Linked DNA regions of Pelodiscus sinensis. Each later gene encodes a partner of the first gene's protein in a complex. Links are inferred from orthologs where the notes say so. Each region holds a gene or a part of one and is shown in the gene's direction. Other genes may lie near its edges. The genes, in order: EGLN1 and EPAS1.

The links.
Region 2: the proteins of EGLN1 (region 1) and EPAS1 are in contact, whole or in part, in a crystal structure (PDB 7Q5X), measured with the Homo sapiens proteins. The link is inferred for Pelodiscus sinensis from reciprocal best matches to the Homo sapiens genes EGLN1 and EPAS1. Residues at the interface, in NP_071334.1 of Homo sapiens: Gln239, Leu240, Val241, Ser242, Lys244, Ile251, Arg252, Trp258, Asp277, Ile280, Arg281, Ile292, Asn293, Gly294, Arg295, Thr296, Lys297, Tyr310, Val311, Arg312, His313, Val314, Asp315, Pro317, Asn318, Asp320, Arg322, Arg370, Trp389, Tyr390; in NP_001421.2 of Homo sapiens: Asp525, Leu526, Glu527, Thr528, Leu529, Ala530, Pro531, Tyr532, Ile533, Pro534, Met535, Asp536, Gly537, Glu538, Asp539, Phe540, Gln541, Leu542.

What each region holds. Positions count from the first base shown.
Region 1 is NC_134713.1:123,943,348-123,959,622, reverse strand, and holds the start of EGLN1 (egl nine homolog 1), read left to right. Parts: upstream 1-8,081; 5' UTR 8,082-8,610; coding exon 8,611-9,489; intron 9,490-16,275. UniProt on the Homo sapiens protein: Cellular oxygen sensor that catalyzes, under normoxic conditions, the post-translational formation of 4-hydroxyproline in hypoxia-inducible factor (HIF) alpha proteins.
Region 2 is NC_134713.1:164,508,105-164,524,389, reverse strand, and holds the start of EPAS1 (endothelial PAS domain-containing protein 1), read left to right. Parts: upstream 1-7,778; 5' UTR 7,779-8,198; coding exon 8,199-8,224; intron 8,225-16,285.

The sequences.
Region 1 (16,275 bases):
TTTACACAGCAGTTATTTCAAAATAGAGCACTCTTCCCCTGACTTCCCTTACTCCTCATACAATGAGGTTTACAGAAGTCGGAGTAAGAAGTCCGTTATTTTGAATTTATTTCAAAATAATGGGCTTGCTGTGTAGACACACACTATGTTATTTTGGAATAAATGATGTTATTCTGAAATAATGCTGCTGTGTGGACATAGCCTAAGGGATCAAGGGACCTAGAGCTCAAAGGTGACCAGGTTGATTTGTCGCTGATTCTGGCGTGGTCCAAGGAACTGGTAACCTAGTATCCAAGAAGATCTGTCATGTGGCAGTGTTCTGTAGAAAGCTATATATTTTGTCCTACCATGTAGATGGGGCCTTGTTGTCTAACTGCATGCTTTTTATAGTCCCCCTTTGCCTTTTCAGGGTATCCCTTCACCTCCTCTTGGATGTGCTATACTACATCTGAGACCAATGGGTTGGGGGAAGGACATTGGGTAGTTGTGGGTGAAACTGGGGAAGAATGGTACCTATAGTTGACAAAGAATGGATGCATTAATATATGAGAACTGTGTTTGTGGTAACTGTGAAGACCAACTGTCCTGGTGATGGTTAGTGTATGTCCATAAATACTGTTCTAGGATCAATTGATTCTTTCCATGTGGCCATTTGACTGAAGATGGTAGGCAGAGGACAGGTGTGCCTGGAATCCTAATAGATGTAGGCAGTAAACTGGTGTCCCTAGTTGTAAGTGATGTGATCTAGAAAGCCATGAAGATGGACCACATGATTTATCCAGAACTGGGCAGTTTTCCCTGTGAGGATTCTGATAGGTCCACCATAAAGACCAAGGAGCTGTCCGTGTAGGGATGAGATAGAGTGTTTAGAAATTGGTGGAGACTGTAGGATATCTGTCATGGAATCTTGGTTCGGGCACACACCTGGCAGGAAGTGAAAAAGGTCTTTATTGTGGAATGCATAAAAGGCCACCAGAAGTCCCAGGACATTAATTGTCCTCTTTTTTGTTGCCCAAATTGTCCTACCAGGGTGGTGTCATGGCACAGTTGAAGAGTCACTGCTCTTGGAGGTCCTGGTGGGAACATACATGCTGTCCCTTACAAATGTGATTCTCTCCTGGGTGTCCTGTGGTTCTTGGTTGATAATGGCCAACTCATCAGATGTAATTCCAAAGAGAGAGAGAGAGAGAGAGAGAGAGAGCGGACAAGCCTGAGCAGGTCCTGGAAGTAGGTTGCATTGATGAAATTATGAGATTTAAGAATATGGTTCTGGACTGGATCTTCATGAGTAAGAGCCATTACTTTAGGACAGGAGTGGAGAACCTTTTTAGGGTTGGGTGCCATTGATCCACAGAAAAATCAGTTGGGGGCCACACACAAGTGAAAAAATAACCCCCCAAAACCCCTCAGGGATGTGGTCCCTGACTGAGAAGGAGAAAGACACTCCCTACAATCCCTTTGCACACCAGAACCTAGGGGGGCCTAACCTAGTAGATTTTGTGTGTTCCAGCCCGGCGGTGGGATAGCACCACAGGAGAAGGCAAGCCTCCAAACCCTATCCCTGGCACAAAGGGGGAGAACCAGAGGGTACGTCTAAACTACATGTCTCCGTCGACGGAGGCATGTAGATTAGCCAGATCGGCAGAGGGAAATGAAGCCGTGATTCAAATAATCGTGGCTTCATTTAAATTTAAATGGCTGCCCCGCTCTGCCGATCAGCTGTTTGTCGGCAGATCGGGGCAGTCTGGACGCGACGCGCCGACAAAGAAGCCTTTCTTGATCGGCACAGGTAAACCTGGTTTCACGAGGCATACCTGTGCCGATCAAGAAAGGCTTCTTTGTCGGCGCGTCGCGTCCAGACTGCCCCGATCTGCCGACAAACAGCAGATCGGCAGAGCGGGGCAGCCATTTAAATTTAAATGAAGCCGCGATTATTTTAATCGCGGCTTCATTTCCCTCTGCCGGTCTGGCTAATCTACATGCCTCCGTCGACGGAGGCATGTAGTCTAGACACACCCAGAAGGAAACCCCTACTGAGGAGGAGGAAATTGGACTCTTGGGGAGACGCCAACCTTTTGTCTCCACTTCTTCATCTATGAAATAGGGATAACACTTATTGATCTATCTCCCAGAGGCTTTGAACTCTGGATGCCTATAACGCAGGGCTACTCAACAGGCAGCCCATGGGGCGGTTTGGGTTTACATGGAGCACAACATGTGACCGGCATGTGGGATCCTTTGAAGATGGCCTCCACTGGGAACATGCTCAACATCAGTGAGGTGAGATGAGCATTGAAAGACGCAAGCGGATAGGCTGGCAGGAATAGACGGGTACAGGGTGTTGGCATTTCTAGCCCGCCGGGAGGAGGTGCTGGCAGTGCCGGGGCATTGTGGGAAGTGCTTTGTATTCATGCCCGTCAGTGTGAAAGAAGCTATTTGCATAAATATTTGCATATATATGCAACCACACTTAAGTTGTGGCCCTCGGCATGTGCTGAGAGTATCACTGTGGCCCCCGTGGCTTCCAAAGTTGAGTAGCCCTGCTATATAGTTTCTATATCTAGCAGTATTTTATAGCATCTTCATAGTGTTAAATGTATAAATCACTGTATAAATGCTAACTTATTATTACTAGACCCTGAAAAGAGAAATCTGTTCCAATAGCTTACCTGTGGTAGGTATTTCTAATGACCCCATTACATTAGAAGGTGAAGGGCTACAAAAATTATCTTGCATTAAGTTCATGCTAAAAAACCCTGCCCTACAAATTGTTTACTTGTGTTTTGATTTTTTGTTTGTATTTCCCCAAGATTTAAAAAAATGTAATAAAGCTAATGTTTAAAAAAGTTTACATAGGTTAAAGAAAAAGAGATTCTGTACATCTGGGTGTCATGCTTGAATTATCAATAGATAAAAGTTTTGCTTAAAATCGTATAATTCATAAAATACAGAATCTGCAATAATCCAAATATAGGTGCATAAATTTAACAATACAGTTTAGATATTTGAACTGAATAAGTGGTATATCACTCATGGAAAGTTTTATAGAGTGTTGATTGGGGAAAGCGAAGATATTAATGAGTGGAGATTGACCTTTAGTAATTCAGAATTTAGGGTAGACTATCCATTGGAAAATACAATCCATCACGGAAGTATTTGAGTTACCTTCCCAATGGTGATTCTTGTGGGCACTCCTCTTCATCTCTCATGATTTTTCCAATGTCCAGTGATATGTTCTATGTAGATGTCTCTCGACCACCTGATGACATCTGATACCATGAGTTGCTGCATTAGCCAAGTGTAACAATGTCCAACTCCACATGCCCTCAGTACTTGCTCATGTGCTAAGTTCTCCAATGATCAATGCATGGGTTTGAACCTCATAGCCCCTATCTCTCAGGATGTTAGCCGGAGGGACATACTTCTCCAGTTTTTGAGATGGAACATTGCAAAAGACCGGGGTCCTATTCTTGAAGGGCACTGTGACATACACTACGATGATCTTCTTCCTGTGATGATGATGTCTGACCACAGCTGTCTGTCTCTTCAAGGGATGGCGAAGTTCACAGAAACCTTCCCCAGAGTTGGCGGGATAGCCCTGACAAGGCAATCCTGGATGGCATTGTGTCGCAGCTGTCAGGCTCTGGAGTGTCCTCATTCCTGTGGGGGAGTGCTCTATTCAGTGAAACACGGTTGAGCTGAGCCCAATGGATGACCTGCCAGTCTGCAAATTGGGTGCAGCTGCCTTTGGGGAGAATGTGGTGTCCCACTTGCATATCAACTCGAAGGCCTTGCCCTGGTCTGGCGTCCATTTCAGGTTTTCAGCATAATGGTAGCAAATGGTATCCTCTGAAGTCCTCTCTAGCATGGTGCTGCCAAAGTGATGATGGAGTGCTTCATCTTCTTCACCTGTGGCACTAGAACTCCCAGCTCCTAGCATTCTTTGAATCACATCCAGGGGCAACTGATTCGCTTCTCCCGGCATCATGTAGCATTGTAAGTGTGAGTCCAGAGTGAAGCAAAGGCTTCCCCATCTCTGCAAAATTCTCCCTCCAAGGAGACACTCAAGTAGGTGGAGACATCTTGGGTTGATTCTGTGGAGCCCTGGTGATTTGCTTCCTGTCAGCATCTCGCATGGCACTCTCTGCAATGCTCTTTACGGTGGTGTCTGCACATGTCCAGAGGTGGAAAGCATGTGTGATCACAGTAACATTACACAGGTCACCCATTTGAGGGACGTTGGTGCCTTCCTGCCTGTGACAGATGTACACCATGTCATTGCTGGGCCTGTAAGGAAGAAACATCCACTTCTCAGTTCTTTGATGGGATTGTCTGCCTTGTTGAGGGGTACCTTCACCATGGTAAATGCCCTCAGGATGAATGAAATACGGGAAATCAGGAAGGTGCCCCAGGCATTGATCCTTTGCTGTGATGCCAAAAGGGAGGAATCAATGCTGGCTTCATTGTACAGGATCTCTGTGATGGCGTCTTCGGGTGTCTGCTGGACACAAAAACCTGAGGGCATGCCGAGATGCTGGTACTCTTGCCTGTCCTCAAGCAAAACCATGGATTCACCCTGGATCTGGAACTTCATTGTGTAAGCCAAGTCCCTGATGCTGCTATCTACGTACATAGATGCACAGTTACTAGTGCTGAAATAGAGGCTCATCCAATTGGCTGCTGCGCTGATGACATCCAATATTAGGTGGAGGCTCTCTGGTTAGTCTGTGATAAGGACCAGATCATCTGTATAGGCCAAGATGTTCACTTTGTTCACATATTGGTCTAAACTACCTAGACTGCTGGAGGTGGCTTGGATGAGTAGCTCCATGGCTAAACTGAAGATAATGGGACTGCGGGGACAGACTTGCTTCATGCCACTACAAATGGGAATTTCCGGAGTCTCTCCTTCCATGGCAGTCTGAAGGATAAAATTGTGCTTGTAGCAGTCTCCACATGACATGAAGCCCTTCTATATGGAGTTGATGGCTTCTCCACTCACTAGCTGCAAGGCAGCTCGTATATAGTGAAGCAGAGAGATTGCTCCAATTGCAGGGGTCATCTCGCTCACCTTTCTTGTAGACAAGCACCATCATGGTCTTTTTCCAGGAGCTGAGAGTATTGACATATTGAACTACTTGCATCTGTTGAAACCAGGAACTACTTGCATCTGTTGAAAATGGCAGTTAATACCAATCAGAGTCTATGATTTTTTTTTCAGGAGGTTGTAGAGAATACCATCATTTCCTGGAGCTATGTTTTTGTTGTTGGTTTATCTACTTGCTACTTCCTGTGGTGTAAAGGCTTGTTCAAGATCTTCTGCAGAGTCAGTCCAGGGTAGAGGACGAAGGCAGTCTGGACACTGCATGTTGCTCTGAACAATGGAATGGGCTTGCTGGTGTGGACTCACTGTATAGAAAACTGACCTAAACTCCTAGGCTACGTCTACACTGGCCCCTTTTCCGGAAGGGGCATGTAAATTTCACTAGTCGTCGTAGGGAAATCCGCGGGGGATTTAAATATCCCCCGCGGCATTTAAATAAAAAAAAAAGCCGGAAAAGAGCGTCTACTTTGAAGTAGGAATAAGACCCTCCGGAAAAGGGCACTTTTTCCGGAGGATCGGGGCCAGTCTAGACGCTCTTTTCCGGCTTTTTTAAAAGCCGGAAAAAAGCGGCGGACATTTTTATTTAAATGCCGCGGGGGATATTTAAATCCCCCGGGGATTTCCCTACGACGACTAGTGAAATTTACATGCCCCTTCCGGAAAAGGGGCCAGTGTAGACGAGCCCCTAGTGTAGATCTGGCCTCAGTGACTCTATCTGTTCACATTCTACTAACCACCATTTCTGTGCCAATAACTCTCAAAGATACCTCTCCTATCAGGTACTACAACAGCCTGCACTATCATAGTATCTGACTGCCTCACAATCTTAATCCTCACAGCACTTCTTTAATAGGGAAGTACAATTATCTTCTTAATAGTACTTAAGTACTTTTAAGATAGGGAGGCTAAAAGTGGGATTCACCAAGGTATTTATACACCTAACTGCCATTGAAATCAGTGGTCCTTAGGTCCTAAATCTCTTTGTGAATGCCACCCTAAATTATTTGCTTACGGTCATTAACAGATCTGGGACTCAAACCCAAGTCTTGTAAGTCCTAGGCTACCTAGCCACCTTGGCTGATCTATCTCCAACCATAGATACAGCATGGTACATTTAGCTAACATCTTTTGGCTTTCACACCATCAGCTTGAAATGGCAAAAACTAACTACCTGATTTGTTCTCTCCACTTCCAGTAACACCACTAGGAATCAACCTATCACTAAAGCCCAGAATGCAAATGTCTTTGAGTTGCTCTCCCTATCTCAAAACATCTGGGGCTGCTGCGTCTAACTCTTGTCCTTTTTTGTCTGTCATTTTATAATATTTTGTACTTCAGTATCACACTTTTCAGTGGAGGAACCTGGTGCACTTTACTAATGTGGGTAAATAATACTGACCCCCTTTATAGAGGAGGCTACTGAAACATCAAGAAATTAAAGGGAAGCCAAACATTTGTAATTGTTTTTTTTTTAAATAATTTGTATCTCTTCCTAGATGTTGTTTAACAATCCAACTGTTTTTCTTTTTTGGGGGGGGGAAGAGGGTTTTCCTCTCCCCTTTTACTCTGCGAAACACCCCCTCCCCACCATCCAAAATAAATGAATAAATAACCAAACAGAGGAAACTATGTACATGAGAAACCATAGGGTAATTGACTATGCAGAAAGTGTTTTCAAATGTACAATTTGCTAACCTTTCTATTGTATTAACTGTAGACCTTATAACAGGCCTGGGCAAAATACAGCCGGATCTGTGCCCACCTGGCCACTGGATCCGGCCCACAGACACAGCAGAGAGCCTCAGGCAGACTCCGTGCTTGCCCCACATGCACCCCCATACCACTCAGAAAAGGCTGGCACAGCCGTTTCTCTTTCTCAACTGTGAGTCAGGAAGTGGGGGGTGGGAGGGGGAAGAGGGAAAAGTGTTGCTTCATGCGCTGCTCTGCTCTCGCCTTCAGCACAATCCCATTGGCTGATTTCTGGCCACTGGGAACTAGCTGCTTAAAACAGGCAGTGTGGGAAGCACCATTTCCCTCTCCCCTCAGGCTCTTATTCACCAATGCACATGGCCCCTGAAGCATGTTAGTGGGAGTGGTTTGCAGGCAGGCAGAGAAACCTGCTGGGCTGCTGGCTGGGAGTCACCCATGTAAGTCTCCCTGCCAGAGCCTGCCTCTGGCACCCCAATCCCTCCCCCCTCCCAACCCTCTACCCCCTCCCAACCCTCTACCCCACACCTCATATAAGGCAAACCCTCTGTCTCTTTCCTGAACCCATACCCTGTCCCAGACCCTGCACCCTAATCCCCTGCCCTAGGTCACAACTGCCTCCTTCCCTCAACCTCCATCTCAGACACCACACCTCCTCTATTAATAGCATGGAAGAGTGAGGGCCTTGACCACTTTCCAAAATCTTGGAGTGGCCCCTCTCACCAAAAATTTTTGCCTTATAAGTAAAGAATTAACGAAATAATTTTCAGACAGCAGTGTGAATTCAAGATCCGTTTCCCTTTAAGTGACTTGCCCAAGGCCAGTCAGTAGATCAGTGGCAGAATTTAGGACGTATGTCAACTGTCCAACTATATACCAGACACACCCCCTTCTTATGTTTGTGCAGTACTGAGCACATGGCTGCTATTAGATACAAATGTGTCGTTCATGTATCAGGCAACAGTTCAAAGCACAGAGAAGTAAAGTCCCTGGGGGCCAGAATGGAATTCTGTAAAATGTGGCTACTAGTTGAGCCCAAGGTTTTGGTTTGGCCTAGCTCTAACTGGACTCGAGAGAGAGAGCAAAGGAGGGTCAGTCGACTCCTATTCTGCCAGGGAGGCTTAAAGCGGGTAAGGGGGGAAACCCACCCCATGTGCCCTAATGCAAACAAATCACGGCCTTTTAGGTGGCGGAGGAACTAAAACCTCCCCGCAGGAAAGGGAGGAGCGTCCCAGCCCCACCCCCAACGCTGCAGCAATGCTGAGCTGGCCCGCACTCCCCCTTCCTCCGCGGCCCCGCCCCGGCCGCGCTAGCTGGCTGGAAGTGGCGTACGTGCAAAGCGGGCAGAGATAGTGGCGCCTCCTCCTCGCCCCCGCACCCTCCCCCCGAGTCAGGCAGTGGCGAGGCGAAGGAGGAGACGCTGACCCGCACCGGGAAGAGGAGGAGACCCCCCAGTTCCAGGCGCGCAGGGGAGAAGCGCCAGTCCCGGCGCTCCCAGCTGCTTCCCTCGCCGGGGCAGCGATGAGGCGGTGGCGAGCCTGAGCCGCCGGGGAGAGCAGAGCGGCCTGGGCTCCGGCGGGTGCCCGCTCCCCGCCCAGGAGGAGGCCCGGGCTCTGTCGCGGGAGGTGGGCAGGGGAGCGGAGGCCGCCGCGGAGCAGGGACGGGGGCGGCCATGATGCAGTGAAAGCTGCCCGCCCTGCCTCGCAGCCTCCCTCCCAGCGCGGCCGGCGGGACCCGCCTGAGCGCTGCTGCCCCCACGCGATCGCCGGAGCAGCAGGGGCAGCGGCGGCGGCGCCGCCATGGCTAATGACAGCGGCGGGGCCGGCCAGGGCGGCGGCGGCGGCGGCGGCGGCAGCGAGCGGGACCGGCAGTACTGCGAGCTGTGCGGGAAGATGGAGAACCTGCTGCGCTGCGGCCGCTGCCGCAGCTCCTTCTACTGCAGCAAGGAGCACCAGCGCCAGGACTGGAAGAAGCACAAGCTCGTCTGCCGCAGCGGTGGCGGCGCGGCGGCGGGAGGGGGCGCTGCCGAGCACCGCGCCGGCCTCCAGCCGCTCGCCAGGGCTGCGGCGGGAGCAGGCGGCGGCAGGGAGGAGGGGGCCGCGGCTCAAAAGGTGCCGCCGGGCTCGGGCCCCGGCGCGGAGGGAGAGGCTGTGGCTGCGGCGCCGCTGACCAACAACCACGTTCCCGCGGCAGCGGCTGCGCTGTCTGAGGCGGCGGCCCCCGCCGAGGAGGAGGCTGCGGCTCCGGCGGGGGAGGCGGGGCTCGTGTACCGGGACAAATCCAACCTGTACCCGGGCGGGGGCCAGGTCGGCGGGGGCGCGCTGCGGCCGAACGGGCAGACCAAGTCGCTGGTGCCGCAGCGGCTGGCGCTGGAGTACATCGTGCCCTGCATGAACAAGCACGGCATCTGCGTGGTGGACGAGTTCCTGGGCAAGGAGGTGGGCGGGCGCATCGCCCGGGAGGTGCGGGCCCTGCACCACACTGGCCGCTTCACCGATGGGCAGCTGGTCAGCCAGAAGAGCGACTCCTCCAAGGACATCCGCGGGGACAAGATCACCTGGGTGGAGGGCAAGGAGCCCTGCTGCCAGACCATCGGGCTCCTCATGAACAGCATGGACGATCTCATCCGCCACTGCAATGGCAAGCTGGGCAACTACAAAATCAACGGCAGGACGAAAGTGAGTGACCCTTTTTCCCCCCACGTCCCTCGTTCACACCTGCGGCTTGGTCACTAGCCCGAGCCCAAGCTCCCCCGCACTTTGCTTTTTTCCTGCCCATCTCTTCCTCCTGTGCGCAGTCCACCTTTCTAGTCGCTCCTGCAAGACCAAGCAGTGGCCTGGCCAACGTGTTAGATCCTCTCTTCACACAGCCCTTCTGTCACACACTGAAGGGGCAACTCAAGTTAGAGATGAAAAATACAATTGTTTAGTCTGTTGGCTCTTGGGAGAAACACCACTGAGGGGCGAGCTGCCACTGATGCCGATATTGAATATCTTAGTCAACTTTGGGAGAGTGAACTTTGTCAATATTGAATATCTTAGTCAACTTTGTCACTGTGCAGCACCAAAGAAACTCTGCTGGAAATAGCAAGTGTGAGATTGCAGGGACCAGGATCCTAGGTGCTTTAATTGTTGTGTTCTCTAATTCCGTTTAGAACCCTGTAAAATTATCTTTGTAAGTGTAATCTTGGTAAAATAGGCTTGGCAGGGTCCAAGGATTGAGTAGTCCTGGAAACTGAATAGCTCCTCTTTCCTAAAGGGTTGTCCCTAAAGGTCAGGGTGGGGTAATGTGTATTGCTGATGAGTGAGGTAATATCTTTTATTGGACCAACTTCTGTTGATGAAAGACAAGCTTTTGAGCTACAGAATTCTTTTTCAGAACTGGGACCCCCAAAAAAGTATTACCTCACTCACTTTGTATAACATCCTGCAGCCCAGGTGACTAAAACTACACTGAATACAAGAGTTATTGCTGCTGTCAGTTCTGTGTGTGTTTTGTGACTGACTTCCATCTTTAGGAAAAACTTTAAAACCAACAAATACACTAGTAGCACCTTAAAAACTAACACAACATGTAGAGAGTATCATGAGCTTTCATGGGCAAAACCGGAAGAAGTGGGGTTTTCCCAGAAAGCTCATGATACCATCTACATGTTTTGTTAGTCTTTAAGGTGCTACTAGACACTTGAAGTTTTTCCTGTTACAGATTAACTCCGCTACCCCTCTGAAGCTTTCCATCTTTAGGACAGTCAGTGAGCATGCTTTCATAAATGAGACCTCTCACATGGAAAACTGTAATACTTTATTAAATGTCTGAACTCGTATGGCACAATCCTTGTTCAGAAATTGAGCTTCAAATAATGCTCTATCCTCACATGAGAGAGATAAGGCATGTCTGTAATTATACATAAATGTCAAGGTTGCTACAGCACTTGCTGTTGGTTCTAAATTTTCCACTTCTCTATTCTCTTATGGGCAGGACAGTTTTTTGTTTTGTGACAGAAAGCTCGTGTTGTACATGTGGGAAAATGAGTAGTTCTGTGGCATTTGTTACAGTAAATATATAGTTTTTGAAAATGATGCAGTTATATTTCCTGTGCTTAGTTTAGGTGGCTGACCTTGAGGTCTTTTTCCTGCCTATAAAATATAATTCTGAACTTATAGGGTATCTGTTGTGAAAACTTGCACTCTATACAAAGGCAAAAATGATCCTCCTTTTAACTTCTGTTTGAACTGATGGCCCCTAAAAATTTGGAATGTGATGCATTGTCTGTAGTGCTCCCCTTAAGTAATATGACCAGTTTGGAGATTTCATGCTACAAAATATTACATCAGTTTCTCATGATTGCTTCTGTTTATATATTCTGAAATAGTAATTCTTGTTACAAATATTTCTAGCATTATTTACTTGGTGTTTGCTTATGAACACACTCTTAGTAATGAGGGTTTTAGCATGTATAATAGTCTGTTTAAATTACCATGAGCTACCTTGGGGTGGTAATACAGGAAGTGCTCTTAGATGGTTGCATAAAACTGCTGGATGAGACTTAGAGTGACTATATTATGTCATATTACAATATCTGGTGCACTTAGGAATATAACGAAATGGAAAAAGTATTCAGGTGTGGGTGTGTGTTAACTTGACCTGTAGTGAAGTTATAATCTTATCGGGCAGTGCTGTTTATATAGCCTACTGTAAAATGTAAGCCTTGAGGAGAAGAAAGTTGTAACTGATGTTTTCTCCGCTAGTTTTGCCAAAAATGAGTACCTCCATGGTTTCCTTGATTTTTGTTTTTTTTGTGGGGGAGAGAGGGGTCGTTTTTGGCTGAGACACTAGTCCTCTTATCAAATTCCAAGTTTTATGTCAGTCATCCTTTCAACTGTTTTCTTTGGGTTCTTAAATGGGGGGAGGGGTAGAGAGACTGCATAGGGCATCTTAAGTTTAGTAGAGGACTAGTTAAAAGAAATAATATCAACCATTTTAAACATTTGCAAGAAAGTGAAAATGACGTTACAACAAATCTGACAACTTGCTGCTTCCTTTGAAGAACAAGAATGTTAGGGTGAACTGCTAAGAAGCATCAGGGGGTAGCAGAGTTCGTCTTAAGTTTTTCCAGCTACAGACTAATAGTCTTGCAGCACTTTAAAGACTAACAAAACGTGTAGATCATATCATAAGCTTTTGTGGGTACAGCCCACTTCTTCAGATGAATGGAGTATTAAAAGTCCAGTTCCAAAATAAAGAAGAGATGGGGGGATGAGGAGGGAAAAAAGAGAGGGGGGGCGAATAGCAAATTGAAGTGTTCATGTTACATGAAGCTGATGGAGAAGGTCAAATTGTTCCAGTACCCATTGTTTGGTTGGTTAAGTCATTAGGATGTGGAAGGTAGTGTGCTAGCCAGATAATGTCTTTATTCATACCTATGTGATGGGGTCCCAAACTTGTAAATGCAGTTAAGTTCCAATGTTTCCCTGTGTATTTGGCTTGTGAAATTGGCCTGAAGCAATCTGTGTGTGTTGTATTCTGACAGACTTGTTGCTGCAGAGCATCAGCTAATAAGCTATGGAGGAGAGGGAGAAACTGGAAGGGGGGAAGAACCCAGCCCCTAGACTACTTCTCCGTAGCAAATTAGATTTCCCTGTCCATGGAAAGTGTCTACTATTTTGTTTGTGTAGGTTGGTGTCCTGACATTTAATTTGTAAAGCTATTATGTTGCAATTGGCTAGCTGACATACTATCATTGTGTAAGTTTCTTGTATAACTCTGCAGCATGGGATTTGTTAGCCAATTCGTCCATCAAGTGATTGTTCAACTCAAAAAAAAAATCTCAAAGTGAATATAACAAAAGTCTCCTAAAATTTGTCTCATTGTTAGATTTAAAATGGGAGCAGTACTTTTGAATGGGAATCCTTGCATTTTTTTCATGGCTTTTGCCTCTTTGTTGTTCAGACCCGCACCTTACAGTAGATGAGTAACGTGTTTGTAAATAGCAAGGCTAGGATTTAAAGTTGCCATACAGCATCAAACCATTAGGTCATCTGAAGAAGTGGGCTGTGCCCACGAAAGCTCATGATACCATCTACATGTTTTGTTCATCTTTAAGGTGCTGCAAGACTATTAATCATTTTTTTTAAGTTTTTTCCAGTTACAGACTAACTCGGCTACCCCTCTAAAACTTTTCATCTAGTCTGTTTTCCTACCAGCTTCTGACAGTGGACAGTAGCTGGTACTTCAGAGGTGGCTACACCTGCACTGAGGAAGCCACTTTGCTAATTGAAAAGTCTCAGGGTAGCCATTAAGAATGTTAAATTGTGGTTACCTGACTAATTGTGGAGTCAATACAATTTGACTAAATGATTAGTCGATAACCGCTTTGCGGAGCTTCAGCAGGAGTAGCTCCAGGAGCCAGCTTGAGCAGGAACTGAGAAGTTCTGGCTCAAGATGGCCCCTGGAGCCACCCGTGCAGTGGCTCTGAGCTCTTACTACATTTAAAATGCAGAGGCGCAGTGTCCCAGACCAGCATGAGCTGGGACTGCTTGGTCCTGGCTTGCACTGGGTCCAGCAGACCCTGTTGGTGGCAGCCAGCCCTGTCTGCTGTGAACAGAGGGTTCTTGGTGACAGCAGACCCTGTCTGGGGTGGGGGCAGCTCCCTGTTGGGATCCCTATGGGTAGAGGCTGTTGTGGGCAGCACCCTGGAGATGGTGCTGGGAGAACCGGCTTTTAAGCCGGCTCTCCCCTAGCACCAGCTCCTGTCCTCCCCCTACCTTGCTGCCTCTCAAAAGGCAGAAAGGGAAGGAACAGTCAGTCAATACTCCACTCAACTACCTGACAAGCTTATGCTTATCAGGTGGTCGACTACTCGCTAACATCCCTAGACAGAGGTCTGCTGGCTGCAGATTGGATCCTAGTGGGCTGCTGCAGCCCACTGAGATGGAGGGCCATTCATGCAGCCCGCTTGTGGCTCTTGGTTGTCCATCGCTGGTCTGTACTTTCTGAAATCGCTGGGGTTGTGTTATGGACAAGATCACTCCAAGAGAAAGAGCTTAGAGCACCACAAATAGCCCACTACTGTTTTATGTATGGCCCACAAAACATTTTGTTTTCCATTGCTCACATGCAGGGTTGCCAGTTTCTGTTGATTGCTGTCCATGTTATGTTTCCTACAGGTATTACTGAAGTGTCATGCACTTGAAACAGGAGCATGTGAAGTGAGGTGTGTGCCGATTGTGCATAGCACTCACTCTGAGAGCCAGGAGGTCCTTCTGTATACAATCGAAGTACTGCTATGGTCCAATCTGTACACCCCGCAAATTCTCTGTATGCAAGCACCATTAGCAAAACTACTCTATCCCGGGAAACTGTCTTGGTTACAACAGCCCATTGAGATGGAGCGGCCCATTTGCTAGCCTAGGTTTTCCATTGCTGGGTTAGAGAGATGTTTCTCTTCTCTTTGCTCTTTTTCCTTTACTCTCCTGATAAGAAGTGAATGCTTTTGCTGCTGCAGTGAATGCAGTCCTAAGCAACTTCAGCGGAGACCAAGTGGAAGTCAGTGAATTGACAAAAATCTGTCCCATGAGTGGTTTAGGGGGAAAGACACATGGAAAGAAGAGGGAAAAGTCTCAAAGGTTAAAATTGCCAAAGTATTTGGTCTAGTGTGTGTTTTGGAACCAAGTTTGTTCACTTACTCCCACAGCTAACAGATTAGGAGTGCTGTGAAAACTAATTTTTTTTTTTCCTACATCAGCCTCCACCAACCATACAGAATTGCACTTGTCACTCATTTAGAGCGCTTTCTCTGTATGGCAAGAGTAGCATAGTGAAACTAATCAGGATCACTTGATTGAGTAGTACAGTTCTGGGGAGAGAGATAATGGAGATGAAACCAACACGAGAGAGAGGACAGAGACAAAGAGGACGAAGGTGTGAGGATGATGATACGTGAACAAAAATGGGGGACCAGTTATGGAAAAGGGGCAGTGTAATTGAATACTTTTCATGTCAGATGAGAACCCAAAATGTAGTGGGCAAGAGAGGGTAGAGTAGAGACTTCTTACACAATTCTAACTACTGGCTGCTGGATAGGAGGGAGGGAAAGAAGGCTCCACATTTATTATATAACTGTTGCATAACAAGTGTTGCGAAAAATGAATTTTCTTTCCTCCCCTCCCCCCCTTCTTTGTGTCCCAGATTTAAGGGAATTGCAGTGCGTTAAGAATCTTAGCAGATCACAGGGGTAAAGAGTGGGGGATCATATTGGGTTATTGCCATTTGGCTTTGCTGGTGGGACACCTTTCATTTTGGTCTCTGGTTAACAAGCTTAGTTTTGGCTGTGTAGTCCAGTCAGTTTCAAGACCTCTTTTGAACAGTGCTTACACCAAAAGTGTAGGAGTTTTTACTACCAGAAACTGTTTTTCTTTTTTGTAAATGAACAGTGGCACACTAATCACACTTCTTCTATATTAGACCTAGGCCTATTGATCCAGGTTCATATAAGCCCCGACATACGTAAGTATCTGGTATAATGCTCTGTGCTGTGCTATAGCTTCCATGTTTTTTGTTGTATTAAGTAAAACTTGCCACTGTCCTTGTAACAAGCAATCTTGCCTTTCAGACTTTTATTAAATTATTTTTTGTGTCTGTGATATACTGGATTGTTTAGTTTGGGTGTATGGAGACCCTAAAAGAAGATTGTTTAATATTAATAACACAGTATTTCAATAAAATTGTAGGTAAATTAGCATGAAATATTATGGAGTAGAATGATTTTTATAGTTGGGCTTTGCTCTGTAAGAAAGAGTGCCTCAGTTTTACCAGCTTCAGGGGGTAGCCGAGTTAGTCTATAAAGTGCTACCAGACCATTTGTTGTTTTTAAAGTTTATTCAGTTTTACCACAAGGTCTGGTGCAGTATAGTCCCACAGCAGAACTGCTTAGCACAAGTGCTCTAAGTGATGTCCCTAATAAGATTTTTGTGTGCAAAATTTTGAAATATAAATCTGAAAGTTGGTCTTCAGGAATTGTCTCTTCAATAGTGAAGATATTTTTTATATTGGTAAAAAAGCATAAATATACTTGTAATGCACACACTTCTCTCTCAGCAGATTATTGGTATTTTTTTCTGATTCTAGCCTTGATGTTTAGACATCTAGTCAGAACAGTCCTTATCGCATTCAGTAAAATCTCTCGTCTGGTCTTCTGTACTTGCATATAGAAAATGGATGATTTTTTTTAGGGTGTGGAGGGGGTGAATTTTGGCACAGAAGTCATCACAGCATTTTTATTGTATGTATGACCTTTTTCCATCATTGGTCCAAGCTCTGTAAACAAGCCTGTTCCGTTAGGATAGGGAATTAATAATAAATGACTCCACTATATAGCCCACTGTAATAAAAAGGTAGGGATTATGTTATTTCATAAATGCTTCATTGATAGAAAACATCTGTAATATTTTATTCCTTTTTCAATT
Region 2 (16,285 bases), about 41 Mb from region 1:
CCTCATAGAAAGAGGTTTACCAATGTCAGAAAAACCCCTCTGTTCTTTCGATTTTCTTTTGAAAGAACGCGATTGCAGTGTGGATGTAATTGAAGTTTTTTCGGAAAAACAGCCATTTTTCTCAAAAAAACCTCTGTAGTGTAGACATACCCTCAGATAATGCTAGCCAGTAAGGTGAAAAACAGCTAGATAATAAACTGGAGGAAAAAAGGAGAATAAACCCTTCTTTCAATAAAATATGTAAATTTCATACATGCTGTTCCAATTTCTCGTCTTCTAGCAGATAAGCTTTGCCAAAACCTTGTGGGGATTGTTTCAATATTCATTAGTCACCACTTTTCTTTTTAAATAGATCCCAATGCAATGAACTTCTAAAAGACAAATTGTTGATTATCACAGAAGAAGCAACTAGTTATATGAGACTGTTGGTGGCAAGTTTAAATACTTTATCTTTCTTCTAGCAATAAAACATCGTCAGTATGCATTATTGAAGTGAGCCATTGTAATATTGTGAATTGTTCATCATAGACTAAGGATACACCTTCCAAAAAAGGTGAAGCGATAAGCTCAGTAATTTTAAGCCTTTTAATATCTACAGGTACATTCCCAGCATTTTGGCCATTAGGCCTTTCTCAAGGGTGTGTGATGGCTGAAACGTCAGGAATGTGCCTGTAAGTAATCAATGCCTCAAAATGACTGAGCTTATCTGTTAAAAAATGTCTTGAAGGTGTGTGTTCAGTATCTTGAAGTTTCAAAAAAAAAAAAAAAACACCACTCCTCTGAAATACTATTTTCATGCTTGATTGTGGAGTGCTTTCAACAGGCGCTCTGTTTCTATGAAAACTACAGAAGTCGGCCAATTTAAAAGATTTTCTTAGAGTAGTTTATAGAATGTGCAGAGAACTCAGTGGAGTGATGCTGATCTATGCCAGCTGAAAGTTTGACCCATAGTCTGAAACATGATGGTCAAAATGGCATCCCGTATCTGTGTCACTGAATTTCATATCAGGCTTGCCCAATTTATAAAGACTGTCTTAATTAGCTGCCAACCCTCCTAACTAAACATGGGATCTAAAGTATGAGCTTTGCTTTTTCTTTATCACCAATAATAAATATTCTGCAGCTATACCTCAGTTAATTGTGCCATGAGCCAGAAAAGAATAGATCTTGAATTTTAGATCTCAAAGGATGTTAGTATCATTATCCTCCATTATAAATGGGGAAACTGTGGCACAGGGACGTGAACTGATATAGACACCCAGCAGGCCAGTGGCAGAGGTGGCACTAGGGGTTTGTCTAAACTGGCAAGTAAATGCTCTGTAACTTTTCATCTCAAAGGTATGAGTTGTCCCCCCACTCCGAGTGCGGCAAGTTACATTGCTGTAACACATTAGTGTAAAAAGGCTCCCAGCGCTGTTAGGGTATGTCTACACTACAGAGTTTTGTCAGAAAAATGGCCATCTTTCCAACAAAACTTGAGTTATCCACACTGCCATCACGTTCTTTCAAAAGTAAATTGAAAGAACAGAGGGGGTTTTCTGACAGCGGTACTCCTCTTTCTACAAGGAAGAATGCCTTTTCCGAAAGAGCTCTTTTGGAAAAAGGCATGTGTGGATGGGGAGTAGGGTTTTCTTTCAAAAGAAGAGGCCTCCAGGAAATAACACAGGTGCCCTGGTGGACACTCTGTCCATACTAATCACAACTCTATAGTTCCTGTCTCCTGCCAGGTCGTAAAGCTGCAGGCACCCTGGACAAGCCTTGTGGCAGGAAGCCAGACTGAAAGCAGCACCCTGACCACGCGGCTCTCCCTGTCATAGGCCTTGCCACCCACGATGGAGCCACAAGCCCCCCTCTGGTTCTTGCAGGAAGCAGTCCCAGGGGTCCAAAGACCCAGCCCAGGGGACCAAGAGTCAGGCACCCTCCTGGTCCTGAGCAGAGATCCTGTCCCACCTGGAGCTGTGGGGTGAGGAGGAGACATTTCAGGACCTCAGATCCAAGCACCGCAACACCGAGATCTTCAAGTGCATGACCATCTCTCTACGCTGGGGTGCGGGTGCAAGGGCCTTGCTCCTGCATACAGGTAGAGGGACTCTCAAATGAGCCTGGCGTCGAGCTGGGTGGGGCAAGACTGTCAAGACGGTCTGCACAAACTTCTGTAGAACCTGCAGCACGGTAACATGGGGCCATTGCATGCCCAGAGGTGTCAAAAAGTTGGGCAACCAAAGCAGGCACTGCAAAAGCTTTACTGTCCCTCAGAGAGGTTGGCAAGCATGCAGCAGAAGCAGAGAAGCTGCTGTCTAGGGGGGTCTCTTTAAGCACGCATCTCAGATAGCCTTAGGCAACAGCACCTGAAAGCAACTGCTGACCTAATGCCCTGCCTGAATTGGTTCTGGGTGGCCTTTTATGCAAGATAGTATCCAATCAGTCTTGATGCTTTCTTTCGAAAAAGCAGATCGCTTTTTCAATGTGCTTTTGTGTATGGACACACTCTTTCAAAAGAAGTTTTTTCAGAAGATCTCTTCCAAAAAACCCTTATTTTGAAAGAAGCCTGTTGTCTGGACATAGCCTTATATACTCCTCTCATAGAGGTGGCTTTCCTAGACCACTGGGAGAACTTGAACATGTGGACAAAGCATAGAAGTCAGGTAGTCCAAATCTCAGGCCTACCTCTGTGCCATGCTGCCTCCCACTTGCTCTCAAGGAATTGGCTCTGCAGAGCTAACGGGATAAAACCTAATCAAAAACTTGTCTTTGCCACAAGCAGTAAAAACAGAGAAAAGCTCATTGGGTTATGGTTGGCACTTCAGATGTCAACATTATGTTGTGATACAGTGTTGCATTGTTTGATAGTGATGAGGTGAGAAAAGGCATGCATGGGGGGACAAAAATAAATTAATCCAAGAAGCATTCATCTCCCTAAGCCACTCAGAATCAGTTAAATTAAAAATGAAAGCATGTGTGGGGATTTCAGGGCACAGCCCTGGTGCTCCTGGCAGTAAAGTTGTGATTCACAATTCATTTTAAGACATTGAGAAGTTTTCTACATGGTTTGGAACTTGACTAATGCAAATGTCTTTAAAAACAAACAAACAAACAAACACAAATAAACAAGCCAAAACAAGCTTTTCATGGATGTAAGCCCATGTGAAAAATGTGCAGTGGATATGTTTTTTAAAAAACTGTGGTTTAGAACTTTTTTTTTAAGAAGAGGCTGAAGGGGCTCATCTTACAAAGCACTGTGTGTCCTAAAACCTCACTTACTTTGTGGAAATTGTGGGTGCTGAGCTCTCCATGGGGGCACTAGGACAAAATCCTCAAAAATACTTGGGTTTCTAACTTCTATAGAGTTAGGAGGCAAAATACCTTCAAGGATCGGGGCTTCAACATTCTATAGTAGTGGCCCAGAATCATTACATGTTTGAAAATAATGTGTAGATATGACTTTCCATAGCATTTTAAGCAAATACATACACTGTGTTAGCATGTATTATCTCTGGAATGCTGTAAATAAAATGTATTTCAGAGACTAGTTTGTTAAAATAAACACATTGCATACATTGATTAGACTGGTTACATAAAATTGTGTTCTCAAAGTATGTATTTACCTTACTTTGGTATGCTGGGATTAACTAGTATCTAGGAACCCATAGGAATTTCAAATTTGTCTATTTCATTGTGGATTGTTTAAAAACAAGTTAGACTTCCATGGCTTTCTTTTTATTTCAGTATGCCATTTATTTCAACTCTTCCACCCCTTTTTATAACATTTTCACAGCAGGGCTAAAGCTGAAATAAGCTACGCAACTTGAGGTACGTAGTTTATTTTGGCTTTTGGCACTTGTCTATGCAGCAGGAAGTCCGAGAAAGAGCACTTTTCCTCTGACTTCCCTTACTCTTCGTAAAATGAGGGTTACAGGAGTTGGAGTAATAAGTCCTCCAGCTAGACATTATTTTCATATTATGTCAAAATAGTGGCATGCTGCGTAGATTTGGGACTATGTTATTTCGGAATAATGTCAGGTATTCTGAAATAACACTGCTATGCAGACATACCCTTTGAAGGGACAAAGTGCTTCCAGCCACAGGGTGGGTTGGGCAAGGGGGAGAGAAAGAAAAGATGAGTCCGCATCTACACAGCAGGCTATTATTTGCTGTCTGTTTAAAGAGAGTGCACTGACAAAGCTCCACAAAGGTCACTTTATGGAAGATCCTCTCTCCTGGATGTTTCCCCAGCCGTTGATCCAGCTACTCCTAATCTGACTATACTGCACCTATATGTGACATCATAAAAGCTTATAGAGTAATGCAAATGCCATCTATGCAAAAAGGTCCAGCTGCTATTACCGAACCAAAACATTGGTTCTTCTGACTTTTATATGTTTTTAATATTTGGTCTTTTTGTTTTATTGCTGCACGTTGTTGCACGGCATACCACATTTCTTAATTTCTACACAGCAACTGTGGTTGTTGCGTAAAACAGTCAGTGGTACACTTGAAATATGGCAGTATTTCCTATTTTAAGTTCAGGGAAATGGTATCTTTTTAGATATTGCTGTTAGCAAATGTGGCCTTTTAAACTTCTAATAATGCCAAAAATATAAAAGAGTAACGAGGCATCGTGAATAAAATTTCGTATTTCTGGATCTAAATTCCAGCCTCCAGCAAGGATTTTGTCTGGTGGAAATTTACTGCTTTATATACGTGTACTGAAGAGTGCCTTACTTTCCCATTGTGAATCGTATAAGCAGTGCTGAAAAGTATATTTGGCTCCTACGACAGTTGACTGTTTGGGTTTGCTGAAAATTGGAACAATCTCATCAAATGTGGAGCATCTGTTCCCTCTTTCATTTGCCAGTATTGAGAACTAATTGTTTATACTGTCATTTTTGGCACCCTGAGAACCATTTTATAGGAAATTATTGCTGAAATCCTGCTGCCTCTGGAATTAGTGGCAAAATTTCCATGATGCCAGGATCTCCCTGTTGATTCTGAGAATTTACGCATGGCTGACAACCCTGAAAATCCTTTGTTTTTCCTTATCTCTGTGATAATGCAACATCATCACTACCATGAAGATAGGGTATATTTTGGAGTCCATCAGCATTTCTAAGTCACGTTGGGGAGTCACAGTTGAGCAGTTTGTTGCTGCACCTGTACTTTCAACCCCTGCTAGTCAAAAGAACAATAAATGTGGCATCTAGAACAGTGTCACTAGGACTAGGCCAATGGGCAAGACCTGAAATATCTGAATTTTACTGTGCATCTGAAATACAACCATTTTAAATTCTTTGCTTGTCTGACTCAAATCAAGTTGTTTAGCCAGGTAAAGAATCTTCAGATACAGAGAGTAGTAGTGACATCAACAAAAATCAGTGAAGGACTAAGATCTCAACTTAATCTAGAGAATGAATGACTGGTTCTTTGATCCTACTGCATTCTTCAGTCACTTGAAGGCTAAACAAATTCTGTTTAACCAAGTTTACTTAGGTTTTAAATATTTGTGCTTTTCTTTTGTGTAGATTCTGTTGTATAAGAAACTGTTACCATCTAATCATATTGCTGTTATACAAGTGCAGGTAACGCTCCTCAGATGAAAGCAGAATTTATTACTAATAGGGAAACACATATTCCATAAAAAAATACTTCTCTGGCCAAACTTTCTTGAAGTGGCATATGAATATGGCAGGAGGAGACTGCTAAAATTTAAATAATAGAGAAATCGTTTTTACAGGCAAAATGCTAAATTGCTTCCATTAGTTTGAAGTGTAGGAAAACTAGTGACTTATTCTGAGGAAAAAATGTTTTGGGTTTTAGTTGTCTTAACAAAAAATTCTACTGACAAATGTAGAGACTATGAATGCAATTAAACTAAAATAATTAAATAGGTTGTGGTACAAGGAACGAATTTGTTTGACACAGCAGAGTTTGTACAATTAATTCTGAAAACAAGGTAAAATATTCCAAAGAAGTTCACCAGAGATAAGCCTTAGTACTTTATTTCCCAAGAAGACAATATCAGCAAGCTTAATTTTAAAGTTTATTGCTGTTTTTATTTGAACAAGTCAATAAATATACAATGGCTTTTTAAAAAAAGAGAAGAAAGAAACAAAATGTAGAAGCCCAAAGAAAGGAAAATCAGTAAAATGAGGGCCTTGCAGTTTTATGCTCCAGTATTCACCAGGATGTGAAACAATTTTTACAGTGTGGGTGCTGACAGCCATTACATCAAACTGTAAACCATGTATATGATAACTATGGACAGTATGGCAGCACCTCATACACCCCTAGTTCCAGCATCTATGGTATCCTCTACTGTGCACTTATGTACAGATGTGCTCTCCATTGGAGCAAGTTGCCTTTACCTTCCTTATTTTGAGCACTTCTAGTATTTAGAAGCTTAACTGAGCACTGCGGTTTAAAAGTTTCAGAGGGGTAGCTGTGTTAGTCTGTAACTGGAAAAACTTAAACTAATAGTCTTGCAACACCTTAGAGACTAATGAAAAATGTGGATGGTATCATGAGCACCGGGAATTAGTTGTGAGAAGGGTATTTTTTTAATCAACCTGTGGTTGAGTAATTTGGGTTTTGAGCTTGAGGAATAGCTACTGGATTTGTGGCTATTGATATGACAGATGCATTTTATGAAAGTGCTTAGAGCATTAGCTTTTTGTATGCGGCATAAATCCAACCAGAGCAATACTTTGTGAGAAAGTCCTGGATTTCAAGTTCTGTAGGCTGGGAGTGAGGAGTCGGGACAAGACTTCATTTTACCAAGCACACTTAGGGGTAAGGCAAGCAATCACTTAACTATGACCCCACATCATCATAGTATCTAATGTCTTAATCTTAATATCAAAGGCTCAGGAGCCTGTGTAGCTCTAACTTCCACCGAATGCCTTGGTGGCTCTTCCTCAAGATAGCTGTTCCCAAAGAGAGGCATCATCACCTCAGCAGGCTCCTGGTCTGAGGAGAAGCCTTATCCAACCAGTCAGCTAAAGGTGGAAGAGAGAGGCATCTCCTGCATCCATTCACAAATGAGGCTTGCGGCTTGATTTTCGTGTCTGAAGGATGACTCCTCTTGACCAAGTGCATCCAGAAACGCCATTAATACAAAATACACCCGCCCTCCCACAGAAACGCGGAGGAGGGAGGAAAGCAGCGGCGGGGGGGAGGGGGGGAAGAAACCTGGGCCATTAAGCCATCCAAAAGCCAATGTTTACAGCCCCAGTCACGTTTCTGCCTGACCAGCCAGGCCTGACAGGTGCTCCCGGCGGCCACTTTCCCCTGCCATTCCCGGCCATCTCGCCCCGTCTCCCCGCGCTGCTTTGCTGGGAAAGCGCTGGCGGGCCCGGGGAGCACCCAGCTCGCTGCGGCCACAAGGCAAAGAGGGGGAGGGGGGCGAGAGGGAGAAATCCGGCCCCCGGGCCCGGGAGCAGGGGCTGCCGAGGGGAGGGAATTGCTCCCAGCCCCTTCTCCCCAGCGTGGGCAGAGCTATTGCGAGTCCTACAGCGCCAGGAGAGACTCCCAACTTCCCGCGGCCCGCCGGGCAGAACGTGCCACTGCAGCCCCGAGGCTGGGGCGCCGCCTCCTCCCCCGCGCTCTTCGGGGTTCTCCTGCTGGCCTGCACCCGCCCAGGCGCCCGCAGCCCCTCGCGGCGTTGACCTGGTCTCGGCAAGTGCTGCTGGAGCCGTGGTGGCCGGGGGCGGGGCGGGGCAGGAGGAGGGCTCCTGCAGCTCCCGTCCCCATTGGAGAACGAGCTGCCGACAGCTCCAGCTGGAGTGGGTGACTGGGCTAAAGAGGCTGAACCTGCCCCCAGGAGCCCAGGGAAGCTTTAAGTTTTAAAGTGAGAACTTTCTTCTGGCAGAGCTTCAGATTCCAGGGCGAACCCGGTCTCTCCCTTCCCCTTCCCCCCCTGGGCAGGCTGTACAATCCTCGGCAGTGTCCTGAGACTGTATGGTCAGCTCAGGGGCGACCTGGCCAGGACAGCCGCAGCCTTTTCCTAGAGGACAATTAGTGCACCAGCCTTGCTGTCAGCTCGGCGAGCCCTCCCGGCGCCTCTCTTCCTGCTCCCAAGCCTGTGATCTCTAAGCTGCCGGGCGGTTTTCTGTCGGGGGGAGGCAATAGGAGACTCGCAGCAGTGACTGAGGAGCCCTCGTTGGCAGCCCGAGTTGGTTTAAGCAGCACGAAGGGCAGCGATAATGACCGCTGACAAGGAAAAGAAAAGGTAAGCGGGAGGGGAGACTGGGGGCGGACAGAGTCGGGGGAGGGGATACGAAGGTGCAATTAAAATGGGAACTGTCACTGCAGCAGTGGTGCCCGGGGGGTGCATGGTTAGTGGGACTCCGCTAAATTACCATCATCCCAAGGACACCTGGGTGACTTCTATTGCTTCTCCGAGTGTGAGGCTGTTGCATTCGCTCCAGGCCCTAGCGGCTGGGGCTGCAAGCGGGCGCTTGGGGATCCCGCAGCAGCTACTGTCGTGAGGAGCCCGAGCCGCCTTCTCTTGAAGTTCACGGCAGGGCATTCCGCTGCCTGCCTGCGGGATCGGGCCTCGAGAGGAGTAGCGGCAGGAAAAAATGTCTCTTCGCAGTGAATTGTCTTGGCTGATCGCCGCAGACGCGGGGGCAGAGGTCACTTCGACGAAACAGCGCAGATCACTTTCCCACACCGAAAACCGCTCCCAGCGACACACATAAGACTTTTTAGCAAATGTGGAGGAGCCCAGCTCCTTCCTTTCCCAGTCTGTGGTGGCTCTCGCAAAGGTGACTGGAGTTCGAGAAGAGCCGGGAGGGGAAGGGTTACACGCAACATAGCGGGGGTTCACACAGCAGGGGGCTGACTAGGGCAGAAGGAATTCCCCAGCACGAAGGAGTGATCCCAAATAGGTGGTTTCAGAAGCTCCTGGTGATGTCATATACATGATAGGGAAACGTAGCCTATGCAGTAGTGTGGATCCAGTCCTGTTCCCTCATGCGCCCATGGGAGCTTCAAGGAAACATGCAGCCTACACACTATAGAAACCCCGCCGCCGCCGCTTCCCCACTTAAGTGTCCGCTGGGTATGCTCGATACCAGAGTAGATTCCACGTTAATCCAGCCCCATCCACCGTCTCAGTGTATCAAAATACCGTGTGTTATCTTCCCTGTGGACTTTCGGCTAGCGCAGGGGCCGTCGGCTAATGTCAGTTACTTAGTCTAGTTGTTGTGAATCCGGTGTATAGGCAAAAAGTGCAACTCTCCGTTTTTGTGACGTCGGTTTAAATCTAATCTAACATTTAGCCCAAGCATTGACTGGAACGCCGACTAGTCTCTGCGGCAGCTGCTGTTCGAGGGAGTTGAGCTCCTAGTGGAGTCAGACTCTTTCTTGTTTTGAGAGTCTGCACTTCAGTTGCATTGGAAGTGAGTGTCCTGGAAGCGGCGCTCTGAAGAGATGCACTGGGAAACATTCAGGTCTCTCTTTTCTGGTCGGCTGTATTGAAGAGGTCTCTGACACCCATAGGCGAAGGCTCTTCCCTCACCTCTGTTATATTTACTCCCACTTTCTTCTCCCTTGGAAAGAACCCTAACTTCTACAAAATGGGAAAGCTTTGTTTTCTGGTGGGGAATCAATCATCCTCATACAAAGAAGAATGTACAGTATAATTGGAAATACATAACTGCTCCCATAGCTGGTCATTTGAAATTCAAATCATGCACATACTCGTTGTTGACTGTGGTCTGTATACTAGTTCTCCAGTCTTGCCAATTCTCAGTTAGTTTATTAGTAGGGGATTAGGCAAATGCAATTTACATGAAGATTTATTATCTTTAATGTCAGTTAGGTTATTATATTTCAGGTGAAGATGGTGTTTTAGAGGGAAATAATTAAACAAAACAAATAATTACAATTACATGGACAACATGAAAACTATGTTAACATTTATTTATTGCATATTGCTGATAAATTTCAACCTATTGAGGGGTCTATAAGGCAGCATCATAATTTTGAGGATCTGATGAAATACTAGAATGTAATATTAGATGTGAAGGACATGGAGTCTTTTTTAAACTGTCATTTGTTTTACTTAAGAGTTGAGGGCTCTGGAAGTGTTTTGAGCACAGTTATGGGCTAGGTGGGTATATCTTACTCTTATGTTTATTTTTGTTGCAAGAAGGGATGTAAAGTAGGGATTGAATTGTATCTTAGTAAATACATATATCCAAAGAAAACAGAAATCAAGGTATTCAACCTCCGTAATTACGACTCAGAATAATTTCCCTACTGAATCTTCATACAAAGTTTTTGGTGGAAACAAAAGGAAAGAAGTCATGAACTATAGTCCAAAACTCCCGCAGACAATTAACTCATGAAATCAACGAGAGTACTTGCATGAGTAAATACTGTCCAAATAATTACAAATTGCATGCTTGACCTCTGTGTTGAGATATTTAAGCTATTTTATACTATCAGTGTTTGCAAGATTGGCTTTTGTCATTGAATACAGACATATAAATAAAAGCTGTACTTTACGAAGGAAATATCTTCATATATAGTAGTTTCATTTACTGATATATGCTAAGCTTTTACAAATTGTATTTAATATTTCTATTTTAATTTGTGCGCTAGTTCTAAATCATTGACTGAGCTACACTATGAATGGACTGAGATACACTATGAGAGATAGGATAACTTTAGGTAAATTGAAAAACTTAAAAAACAGCAAATAGTCTAGTAGCACCTTAAAGACTAACAAAACATGTAGATGGTATCATGAGCTTTCATGGGCAAAACCCACTTCTTCAGATGACCGGAGTATAGGGTTACAGGGTCTGAAGAGAGTGGGTTTTGCCCACGAAAGCTCATGATACCTTCTACATATTTTGTTAGTCAAGTGGAACCTTAAAGATTATTTGTTGTTTTTTAAGTTTTTCCTGTTACAGACTAACTCGGCTACCCCGCTGAGGTTTTGGGTAAATTGTATTTTTTAAAACATCAGCATATGAGACATTAATTTATTAGGGTTAAATCATTTTAATCACTTACCTCTGTATTTGTTCTAAATGTTAGTTAACTCTCTATGCAAAGAATGAAGTACGGGATAATATTATGTAGCCTCAAATCTGTTTTGAAGAAAAGAATGAAAAAAATTCATACAGTAAGGTGCATTTATAAAATTATATAGTATGTTTAATAAACATAATTTTCAGACTAAAAAATCAATTTTAATGAAAGACAGCTTTAACAGAACCCCCTCCCCCCACCTAAAACACCTAAACTATATATGAGCACTGTCTAATGCTCAGAATAATTTGAAGCTGACCAGATCATACAATGTGACTACACTGCAATTGTGGTACTGTAATATTGCAGTGTAAATGTTTGGACTCAGCTGGAGACAGACCCCCAAATTTCTACACTGAAGTTTTACATTCCTGCAGCTCAAGTCTGAAGCTCAGGGGCCAACCATGGGTGTTTTGTAGTGTGGACTGTGCCCATCAATGGCAACTGAATCATGACAACAGTGTAACTGTCAAAGTAGTTCAGTTACTCTTTGTCATCCTGCAGCACTTAGAATGAATGGCTAAAAAGTTCATTTCTTAAGGAGTGGTCCTTGCCACAGGGTGTGCAGGTTTAAGGCTTGTGGGTAGAAGATGAAACCACTGCTGGCTCTGGAGGCTTTCTGAATTTTCTTCTTTTCTCTCTTTGCGTTTGTTTATCTAAAGTGCCTTAGAAACTTTCGATAAAGCACAAAATGGAAATGTAAGGTGATCTCAGTTCTAATCTACTGGCTATGCTTAAGTTCTGAGTTTTAATATTACTGGCCCTTAAGTAAATCACTTGACATTCCTGTGCCAATTTCCTTCTCTCAGAATTGGGTTAATAATATTTAACTCTCTCATAGGCTGTATTAATAAAGGTGAGCTTTTAATGTTTGCATAGCTAACTGAAACTGAAAATATTTTATTTACATTTGTCATTTTTATAATAATGATTTATTGCCTTTAGCTCGTCAGTTATTGCGGTATTAACTTGATTTCTACTCAGATATATAGCTGGAAACTCTAACTTAGGTCATTTACTAGCACAATTTATAATCAATTTTACTGAGGAAAAATGATGATGGTAATAAAAATCTGTTTTGTAGGACTTCCATGCAAGTCTTGAGTCATGAGCCTTGAGGAACAGTTCTGTCATCATAATTCAGAGGCAGTCCATGAAAGATAATCCATGACATTTTACATTGTGCTCCATTCAAATCAAAGATCATTCTCAGATTCTCACAAGGGAATTTCAGGACAGGTGAAAGAGATCTGAGTAACATTTTATATAAAACAGTCATGTTGTCGCACTGAATTATAATGTCTAAAAATCTGATCCGAATAATCTACCACAAACTGATGGAAAATGAATAGACTCACTACTTTAAATTAATCAGCAGCAAACTTCTTTATAGGCATTTTATATTCTTAAACAAAAATTTAAATACTTCTTAGAATACTAATTTAAAAAAATCATTAAAAGAATAAAATAAATTTTGTTTGTAAGATTATATAAACTTAGAGTAATCAATACTGTATACGTTTAATCTTCATATTCCAAACATGATCATATGCAAACTGATCATAAAGGTTTTTCTCAAATGATATTTCAGTATTCTGACAGCTTCTTTTTCAGCTATTTGAAATGTCTTTGTTTTTTTATTTAATCATGATTTTTTTTTGTTTGCAATTGGTTATTTTCTTATAATTCCTTTTTTTTAATTCAAGAAACATTGCAGGGTCAAGACGACTTTGTTCTGTGTCTATCAAGAACATAAGATTTAGTGTTCCATGTGGAAGAGTCTTCAGCGTAAAGCAAATGAGTGCAAACACTGTCAATGTTGCTGTTTTGCTACCATTGTTAATGCTTGTTTGGTGTTTCCTGATAAATTCATTCAGAACACATATTGCTGGAAAAAAATCTATTAGAGACTTTCCAGTCAAGAAAATGAACTCATACGATGAGAAATATGTATGTTTCACTACTGAGTGAGAATATGACTGCAGTGATTTTTAAGTGAACTTTTGTAAGATTATTTCATGATCTATGTCACCAGAAAAGTTTCCTGGTGATTGTTAATGACGTTATACTGAAGTCAGACCAATTTTTTTTGTAAGCTGGGCAAATTTATAGATGCTGTGTGATGCTGGGAGAGAGGGGACAGGAGTGTAAAAAAATTGACTAAAAGACCAAACATCTGATGCTTAAATATCCCTGTTTAGTTATGGCTATGAATGCTTTTGTTAATATTTAAAGCTTGGTACTTCTAGATGCTAAGAAACTCTTTTGAGATACTTTGTGCCTCAACTCCCATTGACCTGTTGCCTCAAAGGACTGATTTTGCATAACCAAGGTGAATGAGAATTTTCATTTACTTTAATCGGAGAAAGATTGGTACTAAGAGCATTACCATCAACAGAAGCTTACACATCCTTACTCACAAAAGAACTAATCCAATTGTTAAAAACCGATTTCCATGGACTTCAGTGGCACATGCATTGAAGTACAAGGGTGGATTTCAGTTCCTCTGTCACCTTTCATTCCACTCACAAATATTTGGATTTTATACAAGTTGAATGGCATCTTTGAGTGGAGTACTACATACTGATTTTCTGTTAAATAATACTGCATTTTCTAGTAACCTGTTCTTATCTTCAGTTATCATATATTCACCCTATTTGGATAGTATGAAGGGCCTGAGTACTGGAATTCTGTTATTATGAGATTCATTATATTTAGGGACCTACCTTACTGTAAATCTACTGAATCTTTCTTCTTGCATTCTACCACACATCTAATTTTACAGTGCAGCATTCTTACACTTAAACATTCAAATATATAAATTTCAGAACAAGGTTTGCTGGGCACTGTGAAACTCTGTGGCTACATCTAGACTACAAGCTTAGTGCGCAAGAAGCTTTTTTCAGAAGAGATTTTCTAAAAAACGTCTTGTGCAAGAGAGTGTCCACACTGCAAAAGTGCATTGAAAAAGCTACGTGCTTTTTTCCACACTGGCTGGAAACTATCTCGCATGTAAGCAGTGATTGCTATGGACAAAATGGACACCAGGGCACCTGTGATTTTTCCTCTTCCCTCTTCTTCTGAAAAAACTCCCTCTTTCCCGTCCACAAACGCCTTTTTGCGAAAGAGCTCTTTCACAAAGAGGCTTCTTCCTCGTAGAATGAGGATTACCAATGGCACAAAAAGCCCTCTTCTTTCGATTTACTGTTGAAAGAACGCGCTTACAGTTGAGATGTAACTCAAATTTGTCAGAAAAACAGGTTCAAGTTTTGTTTTTCCAACAAAACTCTGTAGTCTAGACATAGCCTGTGTTTTTAAGTACTTCTTCTAAACGTCAACATTTGAATTATCTAAAAATAATTACAAGCTTCCAGTGAACAAAATTTTATTTCCCTACCTTTAAAGAGTTTTACAACCTATGCAGAGAGGCAAGGAACATCCCCTCCCCCCGAGTATTGCCTTTGAAATTCAACTAATGTAGAACCAGTTACTACAACCTGTATTCATGGAAGGAGATCTTACTCATGTGGGTAGTTCCATTGAAATCAACAGAATTATAGTATTTGTATGAGTAAGCATTGAAGGATTGGGCTTTTTGTTACTAGCATAGTAGCCTGATTTGCAAGGAATGAAAAGAAGTTGTATAATGAATTGCCATTCATATTTCAAATGTGACCATAGAATTATACCTCTTGCTCAGTTGTAGTGTTTCCAAACATATGGTTGGAAAAACAATGCTCAAGCTCCAGTCTAGGCTGAAACTCATTATAATTGCTTTCTTTACATTTATGCATCTTGCTACAAGACATGAAAAAAACAACCTCGCGGAGAAAAGAAATTTCATGCTGATTCATTTCACCCCCTTTCTTGTTGTGAATATCACAGTGAAGATATTGATGGCCAATGAGGCACAGTAGGGTATATTATTTTACATTGTAAATGCTATCATGGAAAGGTGGGTGAGGTTATATCTCTTTTCAAGCTCACACAGAGCTCTTCAAGTCTGGGAAAGGTACTCAAAGGGTATGTTTACTCTACACTGTAATATAACATTGGGGCTAGGCTATGTCAGCTGACTCAGACTCACAGGGCTGTGATGGTGTGTTTGGTGTTAGGCTGGATCCTGGGTTCTGGCACCCTCCCCACTCACTGGATCTCGGATCCTGAGCTCCAGCCCAAACCCGACCATCTGCTGCAGTTTTACAGCCCCTATTGCTAAGGTGGGCATGTCACAAGTATTTTATTGCACTATAGAGACACCCAAGTGTCACAGTTATATCTAAAGTGGAACAGGTTTATCATGAGAGTTAACATGTTGTAAGACAATAGCTTTCAACCTTTCCAATTTTCTGTACCTCTTTCAATAATCTGATCTGTTTTGCATTCCCCCAAGATACTTGCTTAAAAACCGCTCGTATATAAAATCAGACATAGAAATATGCAAGTGTCATAGCACACTATTACTGAAAAATTGGTTGAATTCTCATTTTTATCATATGATAAAATAAATAAATTAGAACATAAATATTGTACTTACATTTCAGTGTAGTGTAGCAGTATAAATAATTCACTATATGACATTTTAATTTGTACTGATTTGGATAGTGCCAGGGGAACTGACAGCCTCCATGGGCTCCAGGGAAAGGGGGGAGATACAGTGGCTTTGAGCGCCTGGAAGGAGCGGAACAGAGGGTGGAAGGGGCAGGGTCAAGTGCAACTAGTCCTCAGTGCTGCTCGGAGTGCACCATGCTGGTCCCCAGACAGCCCTCCGTGCTGCCCAGAATGTGGGGCCCTTCCCCCTCTTCAGCACTTAGTGCTGCCCAGAGTGCACCGCACAGTGCTCCAGCAGTGACTGAAAGGGGTCCGGGACTCTGCCACTGCAGCAGCCTTCTCCTTTCCCCCATCTATATGAGCTTGATGCTGCCTCCTAGCAGACATCTGAGTACCCTCAGAGGTATAGGTACGCCCCGGTTAGAACCAGTTGTAAGAAACCCATTGCAGATAAAGTGAACATTTAACATCTCTGCAATAGGAAGACAAAGGACCCCATCATTTTGCAACAGATGAGAAACCTACAGACATATCTCCACTGGTAAGAGGATCAATATGCCTCACAACACACCTTTCAAGATCCATAGGTCCTACATATGTCACCACATGTGGTGTATATTCCTCACCTGCTACACCAAATGCACTACTAAGAATTATGCAGGTGAAACAAGACAATCACTATGCTCTTGAATGA